Linked DNA regions of Ovis aries. The protein of the gene in region 2 purifies or fractionates together with the protein of the main gene of each other region. This does not show direct contact. Links are inferred from orthologs where the notes say so. Each region holds a gene or a part of one and is shown on either strand. Other genes may lie near its edges.

What was found.
Region 1: the proteins of SMARCA2 (region 2) and BCL7C purify together in Homo sapiens (affinity purification with mass spectrometry; 4 studies listed by BioGRID and IntAct, counting the BioPlex papers as one, with this or other methods). This does not show direct contact. The link is inferred for Ovis aries from reciprocal best matches to the Homo sapiens genes SMARCA2 and BCL7C.
Region 3: the proteins of SMARCA2 (region 2) and SS18 purify together in Homo sapiens (affinity purification with mass spectrometry; 6 studies listed by BioGRID and IntAct, counting the BioPlex papers as one, with this or other methods). This does not show direct contact. The link is inferred for Ovis aries from reciprocal best matches to the Homo sapiens genes SMARCA2 and SS18.
Region 4: the proteins of SMARCA2 (region 2) and BCL7B purify together in Homo sapiens (affinity purification with mass spectrometry; 3 studies listed by BioGRID, with this or other methods). This does not show direct contact. The link is inferred for Ovis aries from reciprocal best matches to the Homo sapiens genes SMARCA2 and BCL7B.
Region 5: the proteins of SMARCA2 (region 2) and DPF2 purify together in Homo sapiens (affinity purification with mass spectrometry; 6 studies listed by BioGRID and IntAct, counting the BioPlex papers as one, with this or other methods). This does not show direct contact. The link is inferred for Ovis aries from reciprocal best matches to the Homo sapiens genes SMARCA2 and DPF2.
Region 6: the proteins of SMARCA2 (region 2) and CEBPB purify together in Homo sapiens (affinity purification with western blotting; 5 studies listed by BioGRID and IntAct, with this or other methods). This does not show direct contact. The link is inferred for Ovis aries from reciprocal best matches to the Homo sapiens genes SMARCA2 and CEBPB.

Annotation. Positions count from the first base shown.
Region 1 is NC_056077.1:27,484,578-27,488,638, reverse strand, and holds the start of BCL7C (B-cell CLL/lymphoma 7 protein family member C), read left to right. Parts: upstream 1-1,261; 5' UTR 1,262-1,421; coding exon 1,422-1,513; intron 1,514-2,056; coding exon 2,057-2,135; intron 2,136-2,493; coding exon 2,494-2,602; intron 2,603-2,697; coding exon 2,698-2,859; intron 2,860-4,061. UniProt on the Homo sapiens protein: May play an anti-apoptotic role.
Region 2 is NC_056055.1:70,292,504-70,296,003, forward strand, and holds part of SMARCA2 (probable global transcription activator SNF2L2), read left to right. Parts: intron 1-596; coding exon 597-723; intron 724-3,500. UniProt on the Homo sapiens protein: ATPase involved in transcriptional activation and repression of select genes by chromatin remodeling (alteration of DNA-nucleosome topology).
Region 3 is NC_056076.1:31,102,490-31,105,989, forward strand, and holds part of SS18 (protein SSXT), read left to right. Parts: intron 1-22; coding exon 23-115; intron 116-831; coding exon 832-951; intron 952-3,500. UniProt on the Homo sapiens protein: Appears to function synergistically with RBM14 as a transcriptional coactivator. Isoform 1 and isoform 2 function in nuclear receptor coactivation. Isoform 1 and isoform 2 function in general transcriptional coactivation.
Region 4 is NC_056077.1:34,113,398-34,117,402, reverse strand, and holds the start of BCL7B (B-cell CLL/lymphoma 7 protein family member B), read right to left. Parts: upstream 2,801-4,005; 5' UTR 2,664-2,800; coding exon 2,572-2,663; intron 1-2,571. UniProt on the Homo sapiens protein: Positive regulator of apoptosis. Plays a role in the Wnt signaling pathway, negatively regulating the expression of Wnt signaling components CTNNB1 and HMGA1.
Region 5 is NC_056074.1:39,990,684-39,994,183, reverse strand, and holds part of DPF2 (zinc finger protein ubi-d4), read right to left. Parts: intron 3,370-3,500; coding exon 3,291-3,369; intron 2,782-3,290; coding exon 2,740-2,781; intron 1,724-2,739; coding exon 1,586-1,723; intron 1,459-1,585; coding exon 1,330-1,458; intron 1,190-1,329; coding exon 1,077-1,189; intron 593-1,076; coding exon 511-592; intron 1-510. UniProt on the Homo sapiens protein: Plays an active role in transcriptional regulation by binding modified histones H3 and H4. Is a negative regulator of myeloid differentiation of hematopoietic progenitor cells. Might also have a role in the development and maturation of lymphoid cells.
Region 6 is NC_056066.1:78,225,549-78,229,393, forward strand, and holds CEBPB (CCAAT/enhancer-binding protein beta), read left to right. Parts: upstream 1-1,433; 5' UTR 1,434-1,652; coding exon 1,653-2,705; 3' UTR 2,706-3,345; downstream 3,346-3,845. UniProt on the Homo sapiens protein: Important transcription factor regulating the expression of genes involved in immune and inflammatory responses. Also plays a significant role in adipogenesis, as well as in the gluconeogenic pathway, liver regeneration, and hematopoiesis.

The DNA.
Region 1 (4,061 bases), on a different chromosome or scaffold from region 2:
GAATTTTACCCCAGCAGTTTGGCTCCAGAAATGTTGGCATAACCACCTTCCTATACCTTAATCCCTCTGAATATAGTCACTGGAAAACACACAGACACAGTAGCCACACCCTTGAAATACACACACACAGCCACACAAATTTAGCATGTCTGCTGATAAACACAGCTTCAAACAAAATCAACCAAGACATACTCCATTTTAAGTAAACTTTTCATTCAAGTAGGGAAAAGTGCATACCATCATAAGCGTACAGCTCAACGAATTTTCCAAGAGTAAACATGCCCTGGGAATCAGCACCAGATTAAGAAACAGAGCATGACCCGTTCCCAGAACCCTCCTCTTAGCCCCTCCCAGTCCCATGGGTGACCGCCCTCCTGATTTCTCACACCATTAATTGATGTTGTCGGTTCTGAACTTCATGTAAATGAAATCATACAATGTGTACTTCTGTATCCTACTCCTTTCATGAGACTTGTCTCCGTTGTTGGGGGTAGCAGGACCTCAGCCTTCTTGCTGGGTCCTCCACGGTGTAAACAGGCTACAGTTCACTTTCCGCTCCCCTGTCGATGGGTTGTTTCCAGTCTGAGGCTATCACAGAGATATGAACATTCCAGGACAGGCCCCTTGGTGCTCATACCCACGCATTTCTGTCGGCTGTTAACGACCTAGGAGTGGAACTGTTGGATCATAGTTTCGCTGAATAACCGCCAGCTTTTCGAAGTAGTATCTCTACCAATTTACACTCCTCCAGAAATATGAGGGATCTAGTTGCTCTACTTCCTCGCCTCCACTTGGTAGGTTTCGTCGTTTTCATTTTAGCCGTTTTGGTGGGTGAAGAATCAGTTATATGCAGTGTCAGGCACGTAATTGGCACTCAGACTGTTGAATGAATGGATGAAGGGGTAGTAGAACAGTGTAGAACCTGATAGCCTGGCGAGAGAGACACACACCCACACCCACAGCGTCCCAGGGACGTCCCCACGCGCAGCGGTCTCACACGGGACGTTGACCCTCTCTCGCCCCCTGGCGCCCACGTGGCTTGAACGCACGGCCGCAGCCCCGCCGCGCGCGTCCAGTCGCCCAGCTGCCCCCAACCTGCCTCTCGGCGGCGGGCAGGGGGCGCTGCGCGTCCGGGTGCCCCGAGGGGGCGGGCCCGGTTGGGGCGGGGCCGGCCGACTTCCAGGCCTGGGCTCTGGCCGCCCGCGCCGCCCGGCCGCTCCGGGGACGGGCCGGGGCGGGGCGCGGCGGCAGGAAGCGGGGCGGGGACTCGCGGAGGCGTTGGGGGAGCGAGGGAGGGCGCGACCAACTCCCGGAGGGACGACGGGCCGAGAGAGCGGCGCCCCGGCCTGGCGCCGAGCCTGAGCCCGCCGGACGGGAGGCGGCCCAGCCGCGGGCTCGGCCTGGGCCCCAGCCCCGCCAGCATGGCCGGCCGGACCGTGCGGGCCGAGACCCGGAGCCGGGCCAAGGATGACATCAAGAAGGTGATGGCGACCATCGAGAAGGTCCGGAGATGGTGAGCGCTGCCCCGGGGCCAGGGACGGGACCCGATGGGCCACTCCTCCCCCAGATAAGTCTACCCGCGCTTCGCCAGCTGTGCCGCCCAGCTGCGCGCCCGAGCTGCGGGGCTCTGTCTTCCTTCTGGCTACACCCTGGGGTCTACAAAGCGTGTTCCCCAGTCCTGCCCTCCAGAAGCTGGAGCCCCCGTTTACGCCCCGCCCCCTGAAGCTTTGACACTCCTCCCGCGAGTGTGCTGGGGATCTTCATTGCTAAGGTCCCCAGCCGGCCTCAGAGTCCGAGCTCTCCATGTGTATACCCCAGGGGTCTGCAGAGCCGCGACCCCAAGTCACACTCTCTCTAGAAGCAACTCCCCCCCAGCCCCTGCCAATCTGTGCCCTCGGGTCTGCAGGTTTTCTCCCTCTAACTATGTCCTCTTAGCAAAAGTGCCCCTTCCATCAGGGCATCACCCCCACATCTCGGGGTATCCCCAGATGTGTCCCACTCCCGGGGTGGCCCTCCCCTCAGGCCTCTCTGACCCAGTCCCCCCACTATCCCACAGGGAGAAGCGCTGGGTGACTGTGGGCGACACTTCCCTTCGTATCTTCAAGTGGGTGCCAGTGGTGGACCCCCAGGAGGAGGTGAGCAAGTCCCCCCCCCTCCACCCCCGTCCCAGGCCCTTCTTCTGTGTAACCTCGGGCAAGCCCCTCCCCACCCTGGCCTCCACCTCCAGTCTCCACTCAGAGCTCAAATGCAGGAGCACAGACAGATGTTAACAATTAATAGCAACTCCGCCTCTTCCCCTCCCCCCCCATCACCAGACCTCGGTCCCCCGCCGCCCCCACTTCCCGGGTTCAAGACCTAACCCAGCGTGCACAACCCATCACCTCATGCGGGGCCTTCCGCTTCTCTCTGCCTCAGTTTCTTTATTTGCACAGTGGAGGCTTGGCAAGTGCTAACCAGAAAGCTGCCTCTGACCCTTAGCTCTCTAACCCCCAGGAGCGCCGGAGGGCAGGTGGAGGGGCAGAGAGATCCCGAGGCCGGGAGCGGAGGGGCAGAGGCGCCAGTCCCCGAGGGGGCGGCCCTCTCATCCTGCTGGATCTCAATGGTAGGTAGGGATGCTGGGATGTGGGGGGGGCTGTGGGCATTAAGGGAAGGGACTGGGGCCTCAGGCCCAACCCTTTTGGCTTTTTTCCCCCACAGATGAGAACAGTAACCAGAGTTTCCATTCGGAAGGCTCCCTGCAGAAGGGCACGGAGCCCAGCCCTGGGGGCACCCCCCAGCCCAGCCGCCCTGTGTCACCTGCTGGACCACCGGAAGGGGTCCCAGAGGATGCTCAGCCCCCACAGCTGGGCCAGGAGAGAGGTAGGACCAGGCGCCTCGCAGGAGCCCTCTCCACTCCAAAGTGGAAGCCACCAGCTTGCCCCTCTGCCAGCTCTTCCTCCTAAGTTGCCTCCCTGAGTTCTGTGGAAAGTCCCTGCCCTTCCTCTAGGGACTGTCTCTCTCCTTCTCTGGCTTCTTAGCTTCTGTGGACAGCTTATCACTGTCTGAGATTTTCATGTAGATTTAGCTTCGTACTAGTTAAATAGCTTTCTTTCCCCCTCATGTCAGCTTCCTGACTGTTGGGCCCACGTTGACCTTGTTCACTGGTATTATCCTCAGAACACCACGGAACACATAGTAGGTGCTCGATAAGTATTTGCTGGGCCTTCCCTGGTGGCTCAGTCCATTGGGTCTCAAAAGAGTCAGACATGACTGGGTGACTAAACAGCAGCCAGATAGCTCAGCTGGTGAAGACTCCGCCTCCAATGCAGGAGACCTTGGTTGGATTCCTGGGTCGGGAAGATCCCCTGGAGAGGAAATGACAACCTGCTCCAGTATCCTTGCCAGGATAATCTCCTGGACAGACCGGTGGGCTGCAGTCCATGGGATCCCAAAGGGTTGGACATGACTGAACATGCATGCACGATAAAACAATTGTGAAACTCATAAGAGTGATTAATAATAAGTGATAATATAACTGCTCGTATTTACTGAGCTAAGCACTTTCCATGTTTTATCTCATTTAATCTTCACTACACCCTATGAGGGTTATGATCTCTATTTATAGATGAGAAACCAAAACTCATAGAGGTTAAGTAAATTACCTAAGCACACACAGCCAGTGAGCTAGGATCTTGGGCATGAGTCCTCCTCGTGTGTCTTCCCCTAGAGTCAGTCCCCTGTCTGGTCAGATTCACTTCCCGGGTGTGTTTGCCTTCCCCTGCCTCCCCAGCTCTGTCATCTCTCCCGCCCACACCTGGCTCCAGCCTCCGGGATCTTCCCTCCTCCAGTTGTACCCCCACTGAACACAAGTTTGACAAGGTTCTTTTCCTGCTGCAAAGCCTTCAGTGATGCCCTATGACCTTTGACTCCTCAACCTGGCACTCTGGGCCCTTCATGAACTGTCCCCTACTGACCTCATTGTTCCCATCCAAGAACACCCTGATTTGGGCCTATGTTCCATGTCTAGATCATTCCACACACTTTTGTACCTTTACTAATATAAAGACAATAATTCGCATTTA
Region 2 (3,500 bases):
GCCTCTTTCCCTTTTGGTGCTTACCCCCATTCACTGCTGTACCCTGTCTGTTTTTCTTTTCCCAACTGCCATGGAACTTTCTGGTTTCAACTTTTAAACTTTCCATAGGTTCCTTCCCCTCTGATGAAAAAAAATTACCCAAAAAATAGATCATCACAGACATTTCAAAGAGTCTTTCTTCTTCCATTCTGACTTTGGACTCACTTCAACATACAGCAGGTTTCAGGACTTACTTAAAAGGGTGTAGAAGAATAGCTTATATTTGTCTGCCTTGTCAACAGGGCTTCATTTTTATTTGCAGGTTTTGACATAACCAAAAACCTTTCAACTGTTTAAATCCTTAACTTTTGACTTAACAGGTAGCTTTGCTGATCCTATTGGTGTAGTCTTTTTTATTTATTTTTTTCCCCCCACCTATGAAATCTATGTAGTATATAGTAATATATGTAATATAAATGTGAAAATATATGGCTATCATATGGATAATAGATGACTGGGCCACATTTTGAAGACTTTATAGGATGGGCTCTTAAAGCACCGGATAGAAATATTGTGCCTTACAGAGGTGCCTAACTGATGTCCTATAAATGTTTCAGCCCATGGATGGTATGCACGACAAGGGGGTTGAAGACATCCATTGTGGATCCATGAAAGGCACTGCTATGCGACCACCTCACCCAGGAATGGGCCCTCCTCAGAGTCCGATGGATCAGCACAGCCAAGGTTTGTGTTTGCTACATACCTGCTTTGGGCTCCATATCATAGTCTTTCATCTTTCCTATTGTTATTTTAATTATGACTTGCAAAGAACAGAACTTGTCTAAGGATGGGGTCTGGCAGGTTTCTTTTCCCTGTAGAAATCTCCCCTTACCCCCTCACCAGCACAACTTTATGTTTGATATGGGCAGTTTTCTTTACAAAATCCTAGTAGTTTGACTGGCCACCATGTGTCCAAGCACTCTGCAAAATGCACTGCATACTTTACGCAGAATCTTTGCCCTGATGTTGTAAGATACATTATATCACTCCAATTTTGTAGGTGGAGAAGCTAAAGCTCAGAATATCTACTTTGCTTCCATAAGTTAGCATATCCAGTAAGTGACAGGTCCAAAAGGAGGACCCAAGTCTGCCTCCCAACAACAGCATGGATGGGTGATAGCAGGATGAGCCACCCACGTCCCTTGAATTGTACACTCCTCCTTCATAAGGTGACTTTTTCTGGCAGTGGAATAACCTGTCATCACTGGGGAATGGCTATCTTAGTCTCTTAGGGCTCCCATAACAAATTGCCACAAGCCAGTTGGCTTAAAACAATAGAAATGTATTCTCCCAAAGTTCTAGAGGCCAGAAGTCCGAAAGCAGGATATTAGCAGGGCTGTGGCTGCTCTGAAGTCTACAGGGAAGAATCCTTCTTCGCCCCTTCCTAGCTTGTGGTGGTCGCCAGCACTGTTTTGACATTCCTTGACTGGTAGATCTGACATTCCAGTCTCTGTGCTGGTCTCCACGTGACATTTAACCTGCATGTCCGTGTGTCCAGACTTTGTTCTTTCTATAAGGACACCAGTCACTGGATCAGAGTCTACCCTGATCCAGTACGACCTCATCTTAACTCAGTTACGTCTGCGAAGATCCTGTTTCCAAATAGGGTCACAGTCACAGGCACTAGGGGGTATGTCTTCAGTATAGCTTCATAGAGGACAGGGTTCCACTCCACAGTTGCACCCACAGTAGTGGCCAAATCAAAATATGGCAGCTTTGTCCTCTCCTGGGTGCTTTTCCCTCTCATTGTTGAGGGCATATTGAAGATAGTGGAAAGTATATCCAAAGATATAATGTAACCTCTTTTCAGAATCACTATAGGGGCATTTCAGCAACTCATGGAGGCATAGGAGTACATCTTCACTAATATTCCAGCAGGTTTTTGAAGATCCTAGACTCTGATCTGAAATTTGATGGTAGGCAGATGTAAGTGTGACAAATGACTCGTAAAATCTTGCCCATGTTAGAAAAGCAGACTGAATAATTGGGACTTGTTCAGGCACAGAAGAAAAAACTTGAGCCATTCAGGGGTAAGAATGAATTAAAACAATACTTTCAGGTTTATCATTTAAATTCTGAAGAGCCAGGTGCCTTCACAGAGCTAATGTAGATCTCATTTTTAATACCTAGGAGGTGTAGATGAGTTATATTCAGTGATTCTCAAAGCCAGATGCTGGCTCTGTCTGCTCCTGGCTTTGCAGTACTTCTAATAGTGGGGCCCTGGGACAACGCCAAAGGAAAACACTTGAAATGCATGAATCATAAGTGAGGCTTTTTACTTTTATGTATCTTAAAATTTCTTTCATTGCTTGGTTCCTTTCTTGGACTTGTAGAATGATGATATTTCTTGGAATTTCCAACACTTGGCACAATGTCTAGCACATAACTGGATATTTAGTAAATTTTTTTCAATTAGGAAGAGAAGTGAACTTTATGTATTCAAAAAACACTTTTAAATAGATCGTAATTTTTATATAATTTCAATAAGTTATAATTACTTGAAATGCAGAAGTCTGCATTAAATTAAATAGAATTGGAATTAGAATGTAATATTTTTCTCTAGAAGAGTAAAGTGCCTTGTAAGCTGGGGAATTCATTATTTAAAATATGCTTTTGAATAAGGTAGTATTGGTATAATGCAGTCTTATTCTACATAATGAGCTAAAAAGAATTTAGACTCCATAATAACATATATCTTTAAAAACCTCGTTGTAGGAAGCCATTTATAAACATACCGGTCTAGAGAGGTGTAGTATTGATCAGAAAACTGCCTGCTTTAACTACCTAGCAACCTATTAGGTTATTTTAAGGTATTGGTTGAGAAGCAAAACCATTTCCTTCAATAAATACTAAATTGTGTACCTTATGGTCCTGATGATAACATTGTTTATTTTTAGTCCACTGGATAGAGAAAGCCTTCAAAGAAAAGTATATAATATTTAATGTTTTGTGTGTGTGTGTGTGTGTGTGTGTGTGTGTGTGTGTAAAGAGAAAACTCATATAAAATTGGCATTTGAAAACTCAAGTTTATTAAAAGGAGAGAGGCTGATTGCCTCTCTCTGCAAAGAAATGAAACTGGGGAAATAATGCCCTTGAAGCTGAGGGAAGGAAAACTGCCATTTTTTGACAACTTTTAAATGAGCAAATTAAACCAGATTTCAAAAAGAGCAGATTCTGCATCAACACTGTCATCCTACAGACAAAGGTATATTTACTCTCAGGCAATTTCTTCACCATTTTCTCAACCAAAGATAATTATGCAAATATGTTATTTTGTTTTTATCGTTTAGATTTTTTTCTGATTTTTCCTGAAGTTTTATGGAATGCTAGTCATGTCAAAAAATAAAAAGAAATCTCTCTCTCTTTAACTGAAAGACTGTCACATTTTTAATGTCATACTGTGATAGAATGATTCTATTAGCATCTCCTGTAAATTCTAGGAAGCAATTTTTCCCACCCCC
Region 3 (3,500 bases), on a different chromosome or scaffold from region 2:
GTCTCTTGTCGAATTGATGTAGGTCATAATGATTACGGTTATCAGCAACCGTCGTATCCTGAACAAGGCTACGATAGGCCTTATGAGGATTCCTCACAACATTACTACGAAGGAGGTATCTATATACCTTCACACACATACACATATATATCCCCTTCTACAGGAACAAAAATTCTTGCATAAGACAACTTCTACCCACGCAAAGCTCTTGTAGAATACTAGTTGCTGGCTGTCTTGAAAGTTCCAGGGAGCCTAGAACAATCAGAATAATTTTCTTACAAATATTTAAAATGTATAACCATGACTTGCCATTTCTAACAACCATAAAAAGACTAAAACATTTTAAAATAATTTTTTTCCTCAGTGGAAATTTTCTATTTGAACATAAATCCATCAATCCAATTTTTTTTTCTTGTTGTGTGTTCACATATGTATAATTTTACATATAAGTTTAGTGCCTCTAGGAAACAGCTTGCTGATCTTGTGTAGCTAGTGTGTGCTCTTGTAGCTGTCTTTAATTTTTGTCTTTTTTATTTTATTTAGCATAGTCATGATCTTATGACTGTGATGTTCCAGTAAATGTAATGCTCGTATGGCAGAGACGCTGAAAATGCTGCAGTTCAACCTTGCAAAATTGGCTTTAACTGCAGTTTGTTTGGCCGAAATCCTTCTGTTTGGTTTGAGTTTTTTCTTTGTTTTGTTAACTTTTAAAAATCAATATAGCATTTCATTTTGTTCTTGTGTTGTTGGCTATGCATCTTAGAGGAATAAAGTTAATTAAGCAAACTCCTCAGTATTTTCTTTTTGTCCTCTTCTCCAATTATCATGTAGGAAATACGCAGTATGGCCAACAGCAAGATGCCTACCAAGGACCACCTCCCCAGCAGGGCTACCCACCCCAGCAGCAGTACCCAGGGCAGCAAGGCTACCCAGGACAGCAGCAGGGCTACGGTAATCGCTTCTGGCAGTTTTAACTTAGTTCCTCCTGCAAAATGTGGAAGGGGATATTTAATTTTCATTTGAAAATTCACAGCTTTAGCTCAGTCTACTCGTGCAGTGTCTCTTTGAAAAGTTCTTAAAACTAGTAGTCTGTTTAAGAAAAAGCATAAACTGGAGATGGCTCATTGACCACAGGTAAGGTATAGAAAGTCATTTGAAATGAATTCATTAATTTATGAATTCCTAAACCTGTTTGACATTCATGACCAGCCAGTAGCTTTGCGTGTGCTTAGAAAACTGATGAGTTGGGTGATTACTAACAGTATCTACATAATCTGCTTGGCAAATTCATTTCCAAAACTAATGACTGTTACCATGAAAAGTAACATTGATGTTTTAGTGTACAAATGAGGTCCATTTGGAATGCCTAGAGAAAATGTTTTTGTCATGCCCTATTAAAATAGTTGTGTACACTTCCATAGGGGTATGTTTATTACAGGTATGTATCTTACAGAGTTTGGAGGAAGTATAGCCATCTTTTCTTATTGTATTCTCACTGTAGTATTTACTAGTTGGCTATCTGTTAGATAGGGAGTGGGGAATGATACAGACCTGATATCTCAGTCTGAATTATCTATGACTACTTGAGATACAGGAAAATATGGTTCCTATGATAGGAGATATAGCTGCTTAATTAGATATCATCTTTTGCTAACAGGGTCTCTTTGTTTACATCAATATGTCTAGATGACTGTGGCTCAGATCATGAGCTAGCTTCCTATTGCAAAATTCAGGCTTAAATTGAAGAAAGTAGGGGAAACCACCAGGCCATTCAGGTATGACCTCAATCAAATCCCTTATGATTATACAGTGGAGGTGACAAATAAATTCAAGGGATTAGATCTGGTAGACAGAGTATCTGAAGAGCTATGGATGGAGGTTTGTAATGTTGTACAAGAAGCCGTGACCAAAACCATCCCCAAGAAAAAGAAATGCAAAAAGGCAAAGTAGTTATCTGAAGAGGCTTTACAAACAGCTGAGGAAGGAAGAGAAGTGAAAGGCAAGGCAGAAAGGGAAACATATACTCAACTGAATGCAGAGTTCCAGAGAATAGCAAAGAGAGATTAGAAACCCTTAAATGAACTAGCAGAGAGATAAAGGAAAATAATTGAAGGGGAAAGACTAGAGTTCTCCTTGAGAAAATTGGCGCTAACGGGACATTTATGCAGGGATGCACATGATAGAGGACAGAAGTGGTAAGGACCTAACAGAAGCAGAAGAGACTAAGGAGAGGTAGCAAGAACACACAGAAGAATTAAACAAAAAGGTCTTAGTTACCCAGATAACTACGATGGTGTCGCTCACCTAGAGCCATCCTGGAGTGTGAAGTCAGGTGAGCCTGATAAAGCATTACTATGAACAAAGCTAGTGGAGGTGATGAAATTCCAGCTGAGCTATTTAAAATCTTAAAAGATGATGCTGTTAAAATGCTGCACTCAATATGTCAGCAACTTGGAAAAACTCAGCAGTAGCCACAGGACTAGAAAAGATCAATTTTCATTCCAGTGCCAAAGAATGTCCAAACTATCATATAATTGTGCTCATTTCACATTCTAGCAAGGATATGTGCAAAATCCTTCAAGCTAAGCTTCAGCAGTATGTGAACTGAGAACTTCCAGATGCACAAGATGGTTTTCAAAGAGGCAGAGGAAGCAGAGATCAAATTGCCACCCTTTGTTCGATCATGGAGAAAGCAAGAAAATCCCAGAAAATCATCTACTTCTGCTTCATTGACTATGCTGAAGCCTTCTGTGGATTGTAACACACTGTGGAAAATTCTTAAAAGAGATGAGAATGCCAGATCACCTTAGCTGTCTCCTGAGAAAACTGTATATGTGGGTCAAGAAGCAACAGTTAGAACCGGACATAGAATGACCTGTTCAGAATTGGGAAAAGAGTACATGAAGGCTGTATATTATCACTCTGCTTATTTAACTTATATGCAAAATGTAGGACTAGATGAATCACAAGCTGGAATCAAGATTGCCAGGAGAAATATCAACGACCTCAGATACACTGATGATACCACTCTAATGGCAGAAAGTGAAGAACTAAAAAGCTTCTTAATGAGGATGAAAGAGGAGAATGAAAAGTTGACTTGAAACTCAACATTAAAAAAAAAACTAAGATCATGGCATCTGGTCCCATCACTTCATGGCAAATAGAAGGGGAAAAGTAGCAGTGATGGATTTTATTTTCTTGGGCTCCAAAATCACTGTGAACGGTGACTGCAACCGTGAAATTAAAATATACTTGCTCCTTAGAAGGAAAGCTATGACAGACCTGGACAGTGTATTAAAAAAGCAGAGATACCACTTTGCCGACAAAGGTCCGTATAGTTGAAAATATCATTTTTCCAGTAGTTGTGTACAGATGTGAGAGTTGGACCATAAAGAAGGCTGAGCACCGAAAAATCGATGCTTTTGAACTGTGGTGCTGGAGATGACTCTTGAGAGTCCCTTGGACTGCAAAATCAAACCAGCCAATCCTAAAAAATCAAC
Region 4 (4,005 bases), on a different chromosome or scaffold from region 2:
GCCTTAGTCGCTCAGCTGTGTCCGACTGTTTGTGACCCCCATGGACTGTAGCCTACCAGGTTCCTCCACCCATGGGATTCTCCAGGCAAGAATACTGGAATGGGTTGCCATTTCCTTCTCCAGGGGAATCTTCCCGACCCAGGGATCAAACCTGCGTCTCCCGCATCGCAGGCAGACTCTATCGTCTGAGCCACCAGGGAAACTCTGGGTTGAAACACAATTCCAATAACCAAGGAGCAGGACATGATGCTTTCAGCTAACAGAACTGAGCCTCACACTGGCTTTTGGAAGAGGTGAAGGCCAAGCGCCATGAAAAGATGACTTTAAGATTTCGTTTTACAGAAGAGGGTACTTTTGAGATACGCCTTAAAAAAAAACGAGTAGCTGTTCTCCCCTCCCCACACATACCTGGGGAGGGAAAGGCAAGTAACATTCTTGAATAAGGGTGCAGATTACAGATGGCCAAAGTTGGGGAGCCTGAAGTGTGACTTCTGAAAGTTTCGAGTCCCAATGTGAGCACAAAAAAGCAAAAAAAGTAACTGCTGTTATTGATTTGATTCAGCAAATGACATCACAAAAATATAGAGACTGTGATGTAACAGAAAGAAGAATGAACTAAAGACTTAGAAACTGGAATTAATTCCTGGACAAGCCACTCATTTATTCAACAAATATTTAATCTACGACCCTCTGCTAGGTCCTGGGCACACAGAACAAGATGCACAGTCCTGACTCTCCCGAGCCTGAATTCCAACTGTAAACAGACACCACACAACTCATTTCAGTTAGAAACCGGATCATTAGATTCAACCACATCAAACTGCCATTTCTGCAGATAAAAGAGGCAAACATAGATGTCTTATGGTTCAACCTAATGCCACTGTGGAAAGTTCCATTTAGGAGAGGACCCGATTTAGACTGGGGCTCTTGAAAGGTTTCGGTGAGGAAGCAACTGCAGAGCACAGCCAGGCAATAACTAGGCAAGTGGAAGGAGTGGGTAGAGGAGAGTTGCCAGGCGGAAGGAAAGGTAGTGTGGCTCCAACTGAAAGATGGCCAGCATCTTGCGAAAGAGGGCAGTTTGAGCCAGTCTAGTGAGGTATGAAGGATCATTTTTGGTCTTTATCCTAAGGACAAGAAGAGATCAATGAAGCATTATTTCCTAAGCAAAAGAGTGCTAAAAAATTCACACTTGAAGAAAAATACAAAGTAATGAATGGACCAGGGAACTGAGCCAGTCCTGAAGCAGGCACAGATCACAGGGAGCCGGGTACAGAGTTCCAGGTGACAGAAGATGCTCAACTGCCCTTGGCTGCAGATGAGGAGAGAGATGGACAGAAGAGGAAGGGATGCCCAGTCCTAGGTTTCACAAAACCTAGACCATTAGATTCGGAGAAGGAAAATCATTAACTATTTAACTAGTATTCTTAAGTCCTTAGAGATGAGGAACTTGGTCCTGTAGCAAAATGGACAAATAAACATGCAAATAAAGTCCAAGGTAATGATGACCCTCAGTTTTCCAGGTGGCTCAGTGGTAAAGAACCCACCTGCCAAAGCACAAGACGCGGGTTCGATCCCTGGGTTGGGAAGATACCCTGGATAAGGAAATGGCAACCCACTCCAGTATTCTTGCCTGGAAAAAACCCATAGGCAGAGGAGCCTGGTGGGCTACATGGGGTCGCAAAGAGTAGGACGTTACTTAGCGACTAAACAGTAACAATGACTCTGAAGGGAGTGGAGGGTGAAGGGCAGGAAGTCTTGGAGAAGGCTTCCTGGAGGGAGCTAACACCTACCCGGCTTTAAAGTTATTAGTAAAGTAAAAGTTATCGGTAGCAATCAGCTAGAGAAAAGTACTCAAGAAGTTGGTGAAAACACCTGGCTGTAAAAACTTAGGGTGATAACGCACTGGAACTCCCGGTACAAAATAGGCGGTCAGCCTGCGCCTGCAATGAACATGACAGGAGCCGTTTCCAAACAAGGGGGAGATCCTGATTCTTCTACTAACAGCTCCCAGGTCACCAAGAGAAAATGCCTATCCAGCTCGCGCGCGTGCGCCCTATTAGGAGAAAGACAGCAATTTTTATTCTGACTCCCTGGCCCCGTGGCAGGTGGCTTGCCTTAAAGTTCTCACCTAACCGAGACGTCTTAATACGCAGAGTGCTCAGTCTGGCCAACGGGAACCCCTCAGAGATTGTTAGTTAGTATACGGGACAGTTCAAAACGCAAAAGGTTCCTCAGGCAGGCGGGCGCGGAGACTACGCCCGCGCGGACCCGCAGCTAAACAAACCCCCCAGACTCCGCGTCGCCGGAAGCCGGCCGCTCCCCGCCCGCGCCGCGCTGCCGGGGGTAGGGGGAGGTGGGCGGGCCCGCGGGCCGGGAAACCCTCTGATTGGTCGCGGCCGGCGCGGCCTCTGACCTCACGCCGACGCGAGCGGCTCCCTCCTCCCGCCTTCTCCGCTCCCCCCTCCCCCCAAGCGCCTGCCGGTCGGCTCCCACCCTGCCCGCCAGTTCAGCGCTGCTCTGGACCCGGGCCGGCGGCCTCCCCCACCAGCACCCTTGGGCCTGGCCCCTCACCATTTCCGCACTTTCTCGATGGCCGCCATCACCTTCTTGATGTCATCCTTGGCCCGGCTGCGGGTCTCGGCCCGGACCGACCGACCCGACATGGCGGCGGCGGGAACGGCGGGGGCCGGGGCACTGCTCCCAAGACACCGAGAATCGCGCGCCTCACGCGCCGCCGCCCGCCCGGCGCAGCAGCGTCACCGCAGCCGTCGCCCCCTCCGTGCGCGCGTGCGCGAGAAGTGCGCGCACCCGCCCTCCCCTTGGGGCTCGAGGCATCAGCGCGCCTGCGCGCTCCGCCCCAGGTGCCCCACCCCGGGCGTCCCACCCAACAGGCCCCACCCTGGGGATCTCAGAGTCCCCTGGGCTCCCCAGCGAGCCAGGGTCTGCGGGCCAGCTGGCAGCACGTGTTGTGTGCAGGGTGAGGTGCGAGGCACTGCCAGTGGGGTCTCTGGCTTTTTCCCAGAGCAATATCTTAATTCTCTGGCCAGGCTGCAACCATAATCTATATTTTATGGACTTGACACCAGTGTTACTGAGGTTCTACACTATCCTGTACAGCTGTCTCTCCTGTTTGGCCCCTCGCTCCCCAGATACACCAATGTGCTCCAACTGTGGAGAATTTCACACCTTCAGTATGCCTTCCAACGTTTGCACACCTCTGTTCTCACCTGGAATTCTCTTATCTCTTCTTGATGACCACTTACTCTTCCAACATTCAGTTAGAATTCCAACAAGACTTCCCCCTGAGATCCTGAGGTGCCAGTTTGTCCATACTTGACACTCTACATCAATGTCTCGTTTAATTCAGCAATCGTTGATTAAATGATGCCTGCACTGCGAGAGTTGGCAGGCAAAGTGCTGAGGACAAAATTGGGTTTTGCTTTCAAAGAGCTTCCAGTTGAGCAGACCATGCAGACCAGAAAACAAGCATTTCAAATGCCATTTTATAAATGCTAGGTTAAAGGGAAGTGCTTTACAAGGTGCAGCCTTAATCTAGATGAAGGGTGTCCAGAGGCATCGGGAAAAAATGACCTTGAGGTTGAATTTTGAGAATACAGTAGATGCAATTGCTCTAAGTCCTCACTGTGTCCACAGACGCTGTAGATGCTCAGTAGATGTTTGGGTGAATAGTCAGTCTTCAGTGCAGCTCCCTGTCTTCCCGTCACCCCAGGCATTTATTCATGCTTTCCGTATGCAGAGAGGGCCCTGAAGCAGTCGCTTCAAGAAACAGAAAGGAAGCAGGTGACAGTTTGCATTGCTTGGTAGCGGCTACTTCTTTCACCTGTAGAGAAACTTCCTTCTGTGTAGCCAGAGAACTGTCTCACTAACCCTGAACCTGACATAGCATCTATGACTGTATCCCCTCTGTCATCCACTAATATCACGGCTCGATAAGCACGTATCATCTTGCTGATGAGGACCCCAGGAATAGTGTCTGCCCGCCTG
Region 5 (3,500 bases), on a different chromosome or scaffold from region 2:
AGAGAGGCAGACACTTTTTGGTGTCCCCAGTGGTTTCATCGAAGACCTTCCATAAATTTGAAGCATCTTACTAAGCACTGTTGGAGGGCCAGAGCAAACTGTTCAGGTCCCAGGTTCAGCTCCCTCTCCCAATTGGTGGAAATGAACACTCAAATCTGTCAGGCATGGAGTGGTGAAACCAAAGTCCCTCACTGGACAAACTATGACTGAGTTTTGTAGGCTGGTTGAACGATAACAGATCTCTCCTTCTGGTAATTATTTTCTGCTCAGCATTTGTTTTCTTTCAGGCTGTCCGTTTTCTGTGGCTGTGCATGTTATCTGGTGATAATGTACAAACGCTAAACCCTAGAAGTTGCAATGCTAGTAAAGCACTCTGAACTGAGTGAAGGCTAAGAGCCTACTTCCTAACCTGGAAGACCGTATCACTGATACAGAAATACACTCATTGTATAAGTGATTTTCAAGTCACTAATAAATACTTGTTCTGAGTAAGAGTACAGGGAAACCTACCTTCAGGAGGCTCAGACATGGACGGGGTTAGACAATACATGTGGTAGCCACGATCGCAGTCATCACAGAAGAGCAGCTGGTCCTAGAGGAGGTGAGATGGAAGAGGAAGGGGGAGGTGAACGACTCCCCTTGGCTGGGCCGCTGGGAATGGGTTAGGAGGGCTCTTCCAAGAGGGGCAGGGGCAGATGGCAGGGACCCTCTGGCCAGAAAACCACTGCTGTCCCTCTCCGTCTAGGAAGTCACTGTCATCCCACTGGGACCCCAACAGCCTCAGAAAAGACCTTTCTATCTAAATCAGTTATTCACTTACTCTAACAGTTAACCACACTACTGCATGGAACATTCTCTGCAGGGAACAGTATGAAGATGCCACTCATTTCTTTGCTAACTGTTTGTTCACACAAGCGTGTGAAGCCCATGAAAGCAGGGACGTTGTTTAGTGTCCTTCGTGCCTAAAACAGGGTCTGACACAAAGCAGATACTCAGTGAACACCTGCCAAACCAATCTCAGTGCCCGCTGGTGGGAAGGAGAGGGAAGCCGAGCAGGAGCGGGCGGGGGCACGCACGTCGTTCTCGGAGGTGCCGCAGATGTTGCAGCACTTGCACTCGATGCACTGCCAGCGGTAGGTCTTCACCGCTGCCATCATCACGGGGGTGAACTGGAGGCAGGACGGGTGCCCTGTGGAGGAGAGCGGGCAGGTCAGGGAGCTGAGGACTGCGGAGCAGCGAGGGGGCCCGGCGAGGGCGGCCACCGGGATGCTGGTGAGCCACGGGCCCTCAGGGTCTGGGTGCCGCCAGGGGCTGCACTGGCTCAGATACCTGAGCGGCCACAGTCAGAGCAGGACACCAGCTCCTCGGGCTGTCCTGTCTTCTTGTTGATCTTGGAGTCCCCCAGGCAGAAGTCGCAGTAGTTGTTGGGCAGGGCCAATCCATCAGGACCCTTCTTGGCTATAACAAGAAAGGGAAGAACTCAGATGATACCCAGGCGGGCCTCTGGGTCTCCTGACATCCCCACAAGAAGGGTTTTTCACAGCCAAGCCGACTCCTGCTTGCCTCGCCCCTGACACCAGCTTACATTTCTGCTCCTCGGACCTCTGGGAAACAGGGGTGGGTGGCTGTGAGTCTTCCTTGTCCTCGCCCTCCTCCTCAGCCAAGTGGGAGTGGGCATAGTGGTAACTCAGGCCTGGTCGATTCTTGTAACGTTTTCCACAAACTGAGTGGGGAGAAGATTGCAGAGAAAGGTGTTAGGATCTCAGGGTACCTCATCCCTGCCCCTCTAAGCTGTGGGCTCCACGTGAGGCAGAGGTAACCGCCCCCATCAGCTCTGCTCAGGGACAGACCTTTACTGAGAGCCGCCTCCCCGTGGCCAGGAACAGCAGGCCCGGGGGTCTCAAGCTCCCACGGGTCCTCCACTTACTAAAGCCCAGAGCACGGCCACCTCTGCTCCTCCACTCAAGCTGTCTGGGAGACTGAGCCGTTGCCTTCTGCCTGCCTTGGGAATAGTCTGGGGAGCTCCAGGTCAGGAAGGAAAGGGACCTTCCATAGTATTGCAATAATTCTGCAATAATGGCAGGCAGGAGGAAAGCTAAGACTCTAAACTTTTTTATCCTATCAGTAAATGTAGGCTCATGCTACTCCCTACATACAACACAGCCCACCTCTGCCCAAATAAAGAAGTAAGGGTGGATCTCTTGGGAAAAATCTATCAACTGAGTCTGCTGGGGTAGCTGTTCCCCAGAGAAACTCAAAGACATGCGCACAGCAGTGCTCTGTCCAACCAACAATCCCTCAACCACCAAGGAAAGCAGATCCCCACGAGGCACCCTGTACCTTTGAGCAGTGATACCAAGAAGAATAAGGGGTGGCAGGAAAGGAATGGGGAAGGGATGGGAAGGGTGGCGGGATGGTGGGGAACGTTAGCTGACCACCACATGTCTGTTTTGGGGAAGCGGAAGCAGAGGGATCTGGGACAATGGGTCCCTCAGAATGCTTCTAAAGCCACCCCATGCAGTGGGCCCAAGCAGCCCTAGAGCAACGTGGTGGGAGACGAGCAGGGAGAGGCAGCTTCTGGGACTGTGAGGAGTGGACTGCAACAGAAGGGCCAGGGCTCCTCTCTCCATGCCACTCCAGGGACCTTAACACTAGCGTCACAGATGAGAAAGGCAGGAACAAAGGGAGAAGGGAAAAAGGGATAGGAAAACCAAAAGTCTGAGAAGTTGAGAGAGCTACCTCTCTGGGGCGCTTTCGAGGTATGCTTTTGTTTGAAACTATCTGAAAGACAGAAAGAAAAGTCATGAGAAGAGGGCCTTGGTACACTTGAGACAGGTACAGCAGCAGCAGGAAAGCAGAGCAAACGAGAGAGAAACCCCAGCGGAGACGGTGGTCCCAGGGTGCAGGGACAGAAGTGGGGCGAGTCAGAGAAAAGGGGAAGAGGGAACAGACATCGGAAAAGTCAGCGCTGGACTCCTGGGGCCTGACTTGATTGGGGCCAGCAGGCCCAGATGTCATCTACTGAGAGGCCAACTTTGCCTGCTGTGTGTCCCTCATGGGCACCCCCACCCCAGAGGACAGCAGAAATCTCCCCCAGAGCATGCAAGGCTCACCCATCGTGCAGCAGAGGCCGGGGCCTCTCAGGGATCTCAGAGGGAACCAGTCAGCAGGCAGGACAAGAGTCCAAGCTTGTTTTACCACTTTGAGCAAGAATACAACCTTCCCTCCTTTCATATCCCGAGGAGCTGGGTCGAAGGCAAGGACTACCCACCCACTCGTGAGGCACTCACTGTCACAGGCATAGGGTTTGTCCCGATCCTCCAGGATGGAAGCGTCCAGCTTCTTACGGGCACTGCCCACACCTTTACTCTGCAAAGAAGAAGAGCCCTTAACTACGGTGTCTGGGCCTGAAGAGTTATTCTCTTGGTAGCGGCTGCTAATCTCATTCAGGAAGGATGATGGCAACAAGCAGCAGTAAGACAGTGGGACTCTGCAGGCTC
Region 6 (3,845 bases), on a different chromosome or scaffold from region 2:
GCCGGGGTCTGGGAGTGGCAGAAGGGTAGGCCCAAGGGGCTGCCGAAATGGCCTTGGAATGGTGCAGGAGAGGGCCAGGGCGGCTGGCACCCACTCAGCAGGGAGGGCCTGGGGCCGGCGTTCCCATCCTGGTGGGCCATCTCGTCTCCCTCTCTGTGAACCAAGGGCCGCGAGGGCATCCTCCTGGCAGGGTGAAAAAGCAAGCTCTGGGTCCAGACCCCTCTCACCACACAGCAGGGGCCTGCTAAAAGAGGAGAACTCCTTCCTCCCTTCTGCATGGCCCCCTGGGTCCTGCCTGGACCCCCACCCACCAGCCTCAGATACAGGTGCTTTGGGAGGGGGATGACGAACAGCTCTGAGGGTGCCTGGATAAGGGCTTTTCTTTTGAGAACAGTGGGGAACATGAAGCTGTGTGATCTTGGGTGTGCTGTGGGCCTCTGGGCCTCTTTGTACTGGGAAGAGGCCCTTCTTTCTGATGTGTGTCCCAGAGCGGTGAGCGTTTGGGAGTCTGCGTTGGAGACAGTTAATACAACTAATAAAGATAACAGTAAGGACACCCTCGCAGACTTAAACTTGGAGAAGCCAAGTGACTAGTCCAAGGTCACACAGCGTGTGGTCGGGGGGCACCCCACCCCCGTTCCACCCTCCGGGGAGGGGGCCCCAGGTCAGGGCGGGGTGGGGCTGGAGAAGACCCAGGTGTGGTCCGAGGGGGAGGGAGCAGGCAGGTGCGGGGGGCGGGGCCGGGGGAGGGGCGCTCGCCCCCTTGTTTGCACCTCCCCAAGCCCCCAACCCCAGGTCTTCCTATTTCAGAAGGGGAGTCACCGCAGGTGTGAGTCCCTCCTGTCCAGATCTGGGGAGGGGTGCCAGTTTAGCGGCGAGGCCGCACTCGGGGGAGGGCTGTGGAGGCGGCTCACCCCTCCGGGAGTCCGAGCTGGAGGGGGTTGGGGTCTCCAGCATCCCTGGCTGGGGGGAGAGGGGCGCGCCCCCTCCCTGGAGAGCCAGGTCCGGCGGCCGCGGCTCCCGAAGGCCAGCGCCTCCTCCAGCAGGGGGCGGGCGGCGGCCGCGTTCAGGGTGGGAGCAGACGGCCGCCCGGCCCCCTCCCCGGGTTCCCCCTCCCTTCTCGTCCGCCGGCCGGCCCAGAGGGGGCGGTCCGGGGGCGGGCTCGCGCCTCTCCGCGCTCGCCATCTCGGGGCCGCCGGGTGGGAGTGGACAGGGCGGGGGCCCGAGGCCGCCCCCCACCCCGGCCCCGCAGGCCGGGGGACCCCCGGGGGCGCGCTCCGGGTCTCCAGGCCGGCCCGCCGGCGCCCGGCCGGGGGTCCCGGGCGGCCGCGGCGTGTCCTCTGCGTGCCCGGGGAGGGAGGGGCCGCCGCCGGGCGTGACGCAGCCGTTGCTATGGCCCGCCTTTATAAATAAACGGGCTCGGGAGAAACTTTAGCGAGTCAGAGCCGCGCACGGGACCGGGAAGGGGACCCACCCGAGGGTCCGGCCGGCAGCCCCCCGCACTGATAGCGGCCACCCCGGAGCAGCGGCGGCGGCAGCAGCAGCAGCAGCGGCGGCGACACAGCAGCGACTGTTCGGAGCCGGGAGGCCGCGCCACCTGCGGGCCGGCCGGCGCGGGCAGCCCCAGGCCCCCTCCCCGGGCACCCGCGTTCATGCAACGCCTGGTGGCCTGGGACCCAGCATGTCTCCCCCTGCCGCCGCCGCCGCCCGCCTTTAAATCCATGGAAGTGGCCAACTTCTACTACGAGGCGGACTGCTTGGCTGCTGCGTACGGCGGCAAGGCGGCCCCCGCGGCGCCCCCGGCGGCCAGACCCGGGCCGCGCCCCCCCGCCGGCGAGCTGGGTAGCATCGGAGAGCACGAGCGCGCCATCGACTTCAGCCCCTACCTGGAGCCGCTGGGCGCGCCGCAGGCCCCGGCACCCACCACGGCCACGGACACCTTCGAGGCGGCTCCGCCCGCGCCCGCCCCCGCGCCCGCCTCCTCCGGGCAGCACCACGACTTCCTCTCCGACCTCTTCTCCGACGACTACGGGGGCAAGAACTGCAAGAAGGCGGCCGAGTACGGCTACGTGAGCCTGGGCCGCCTGGGGGCCGCCAAGGGCGCGCTGCACCCGGGCTGCTTCGCACCCCTGCACCCGCCACCGCCGCCGCCGCCGCCGCCGCCGCCGGCGGAGCTCAAGGCGGAGCCGGGCTTCGAGCCCGCGGACTGCAAGCGGAAGGAGGAGGCCGGAGCTCCGGGCGGCGGCGCCGCGGGCATGGCGGCCGGCTTCCCGTACGCGCTGCGCGCCTACCTCGGCTACCAGGCGGTGCCGAGCGGCAGCAGCGGGAGCCTGTCCACGTCCTCGTCGTCCAGCCCGCCCGGCACGCCGAGCCCCGCCGACGCCAAGGCACCCCCGGCCGCCGCCGCCTGCTACGCGGGGGCGGCGCCGGCGCCCTCGCAGGTCAAGAGCAAGGCCAAGAAGACGGTGGACAAGCACAGCGACGAGTACAAGATCCGGCGGGAGCGCAACAACATCGCGGTGCGCAAAAGCCGCGACAAGGCCAAGATGCGCAACCTGGAGACGCAGCACAAGGTCCTGGAGCTCACGGCCGAGAACGAGCGGCTCCAGAAGAAGGTGGAGCAGCTGTCGCGCGAGCTCAGCACCCTGCGGAACTTGTTCAAGCAGCTGCCCGAGCCCCTGCTCGCCTCCTCCGGCCACTGCTAGCGCGGCCCCCGTGCGCGTCCCCCGCGGCCGGCCGGCCGGCCCCCGCGCTGCCGGGCGCGCCGCGGCCGCCGAGACTCCGGGGAGCGCCCGCGCGCCCGCCCGCGCCCCTGGCGGCGCCGGCAGAACTTTGGCACTGGGGCACTGGGCAGCGCGGGGAGCGCGTCGGTAATTTTAATATTTTATTATATATATCTATCTATATTTTTGTCCACACCAGCCGCACGTGCAGACGGGGCGCCCGCCCGTGGTGTTATTTAAAGAAGAGATGTCTATGTGTACAGATGAATGATAAACTCTTGCCTCTCATTCTGCCCACCCCCCCTCTCTGGGCGCCGGCGGGCGGGCCGGTTTCGAAGTTGATGCAATCGGTTTAAACATGGCTGAACGCGTGTGTACACGGGACTGACGCAACCCACGTGTAACTGTCAGCCGGGCCCTGAGTAATCGCTTAAAGATGTTCCTACGGGGTTGTTGCTGTTGATGTTGTTTTTTGTTTTTGTTGGTGTTTTTTTTTTTTTGGCCTTTTTTTTTTGTATTATAAAAAAAAATCTATTTCTATGAAAAAAGAGGCATCTGTATATTTGGGAATCTTTTCCGTTTCGAGCATTAAGAACACTTTTAATAAACTTTTTTTTTTTTTTGAGAATGTTTAAAAAGCCTTTTGGGGGCAGTAGTTGGCTTTGATTTTTTTTTCTTCCCCTTTATTTTGGATTTATATTTGCCTTTCTGGTGTGTGGGGGGTTGTTGTTGTGTGTGTGTGTGTGAGTGAGAGCTGCTGTTATTTTTGGCATTTTAGGTGGTTGGGTGGGGGTGTTGCAGCTGCTTATTCTCCTCTGCTACTCCCCCCCTCAACCCCACCCCCAGGGCCTGTGCTTGGAGATGGGGGTATCAGGCCTGGCGCGGGGGAGGGGCAGAGGAGTGCTGGGTCAGGCTTTGAGGGTGACTCAGTGCGGCTGAGTGCTGGGGAGGAGTGACTAGGAGCCCTGCTTGGGGAGGGCCTGCAGGGCCTCTGGCTGGTCCTGAGTCCGGGGCTTGGGTTTGGAGGGGCTTTGCGGGTTCTGATCTCTGCACAGCGCGTGGGGACCCAGCCCATGGGACTGTGACTCTGAAAAAGAAGGGGTACAGGTCTTGGTCCTACTG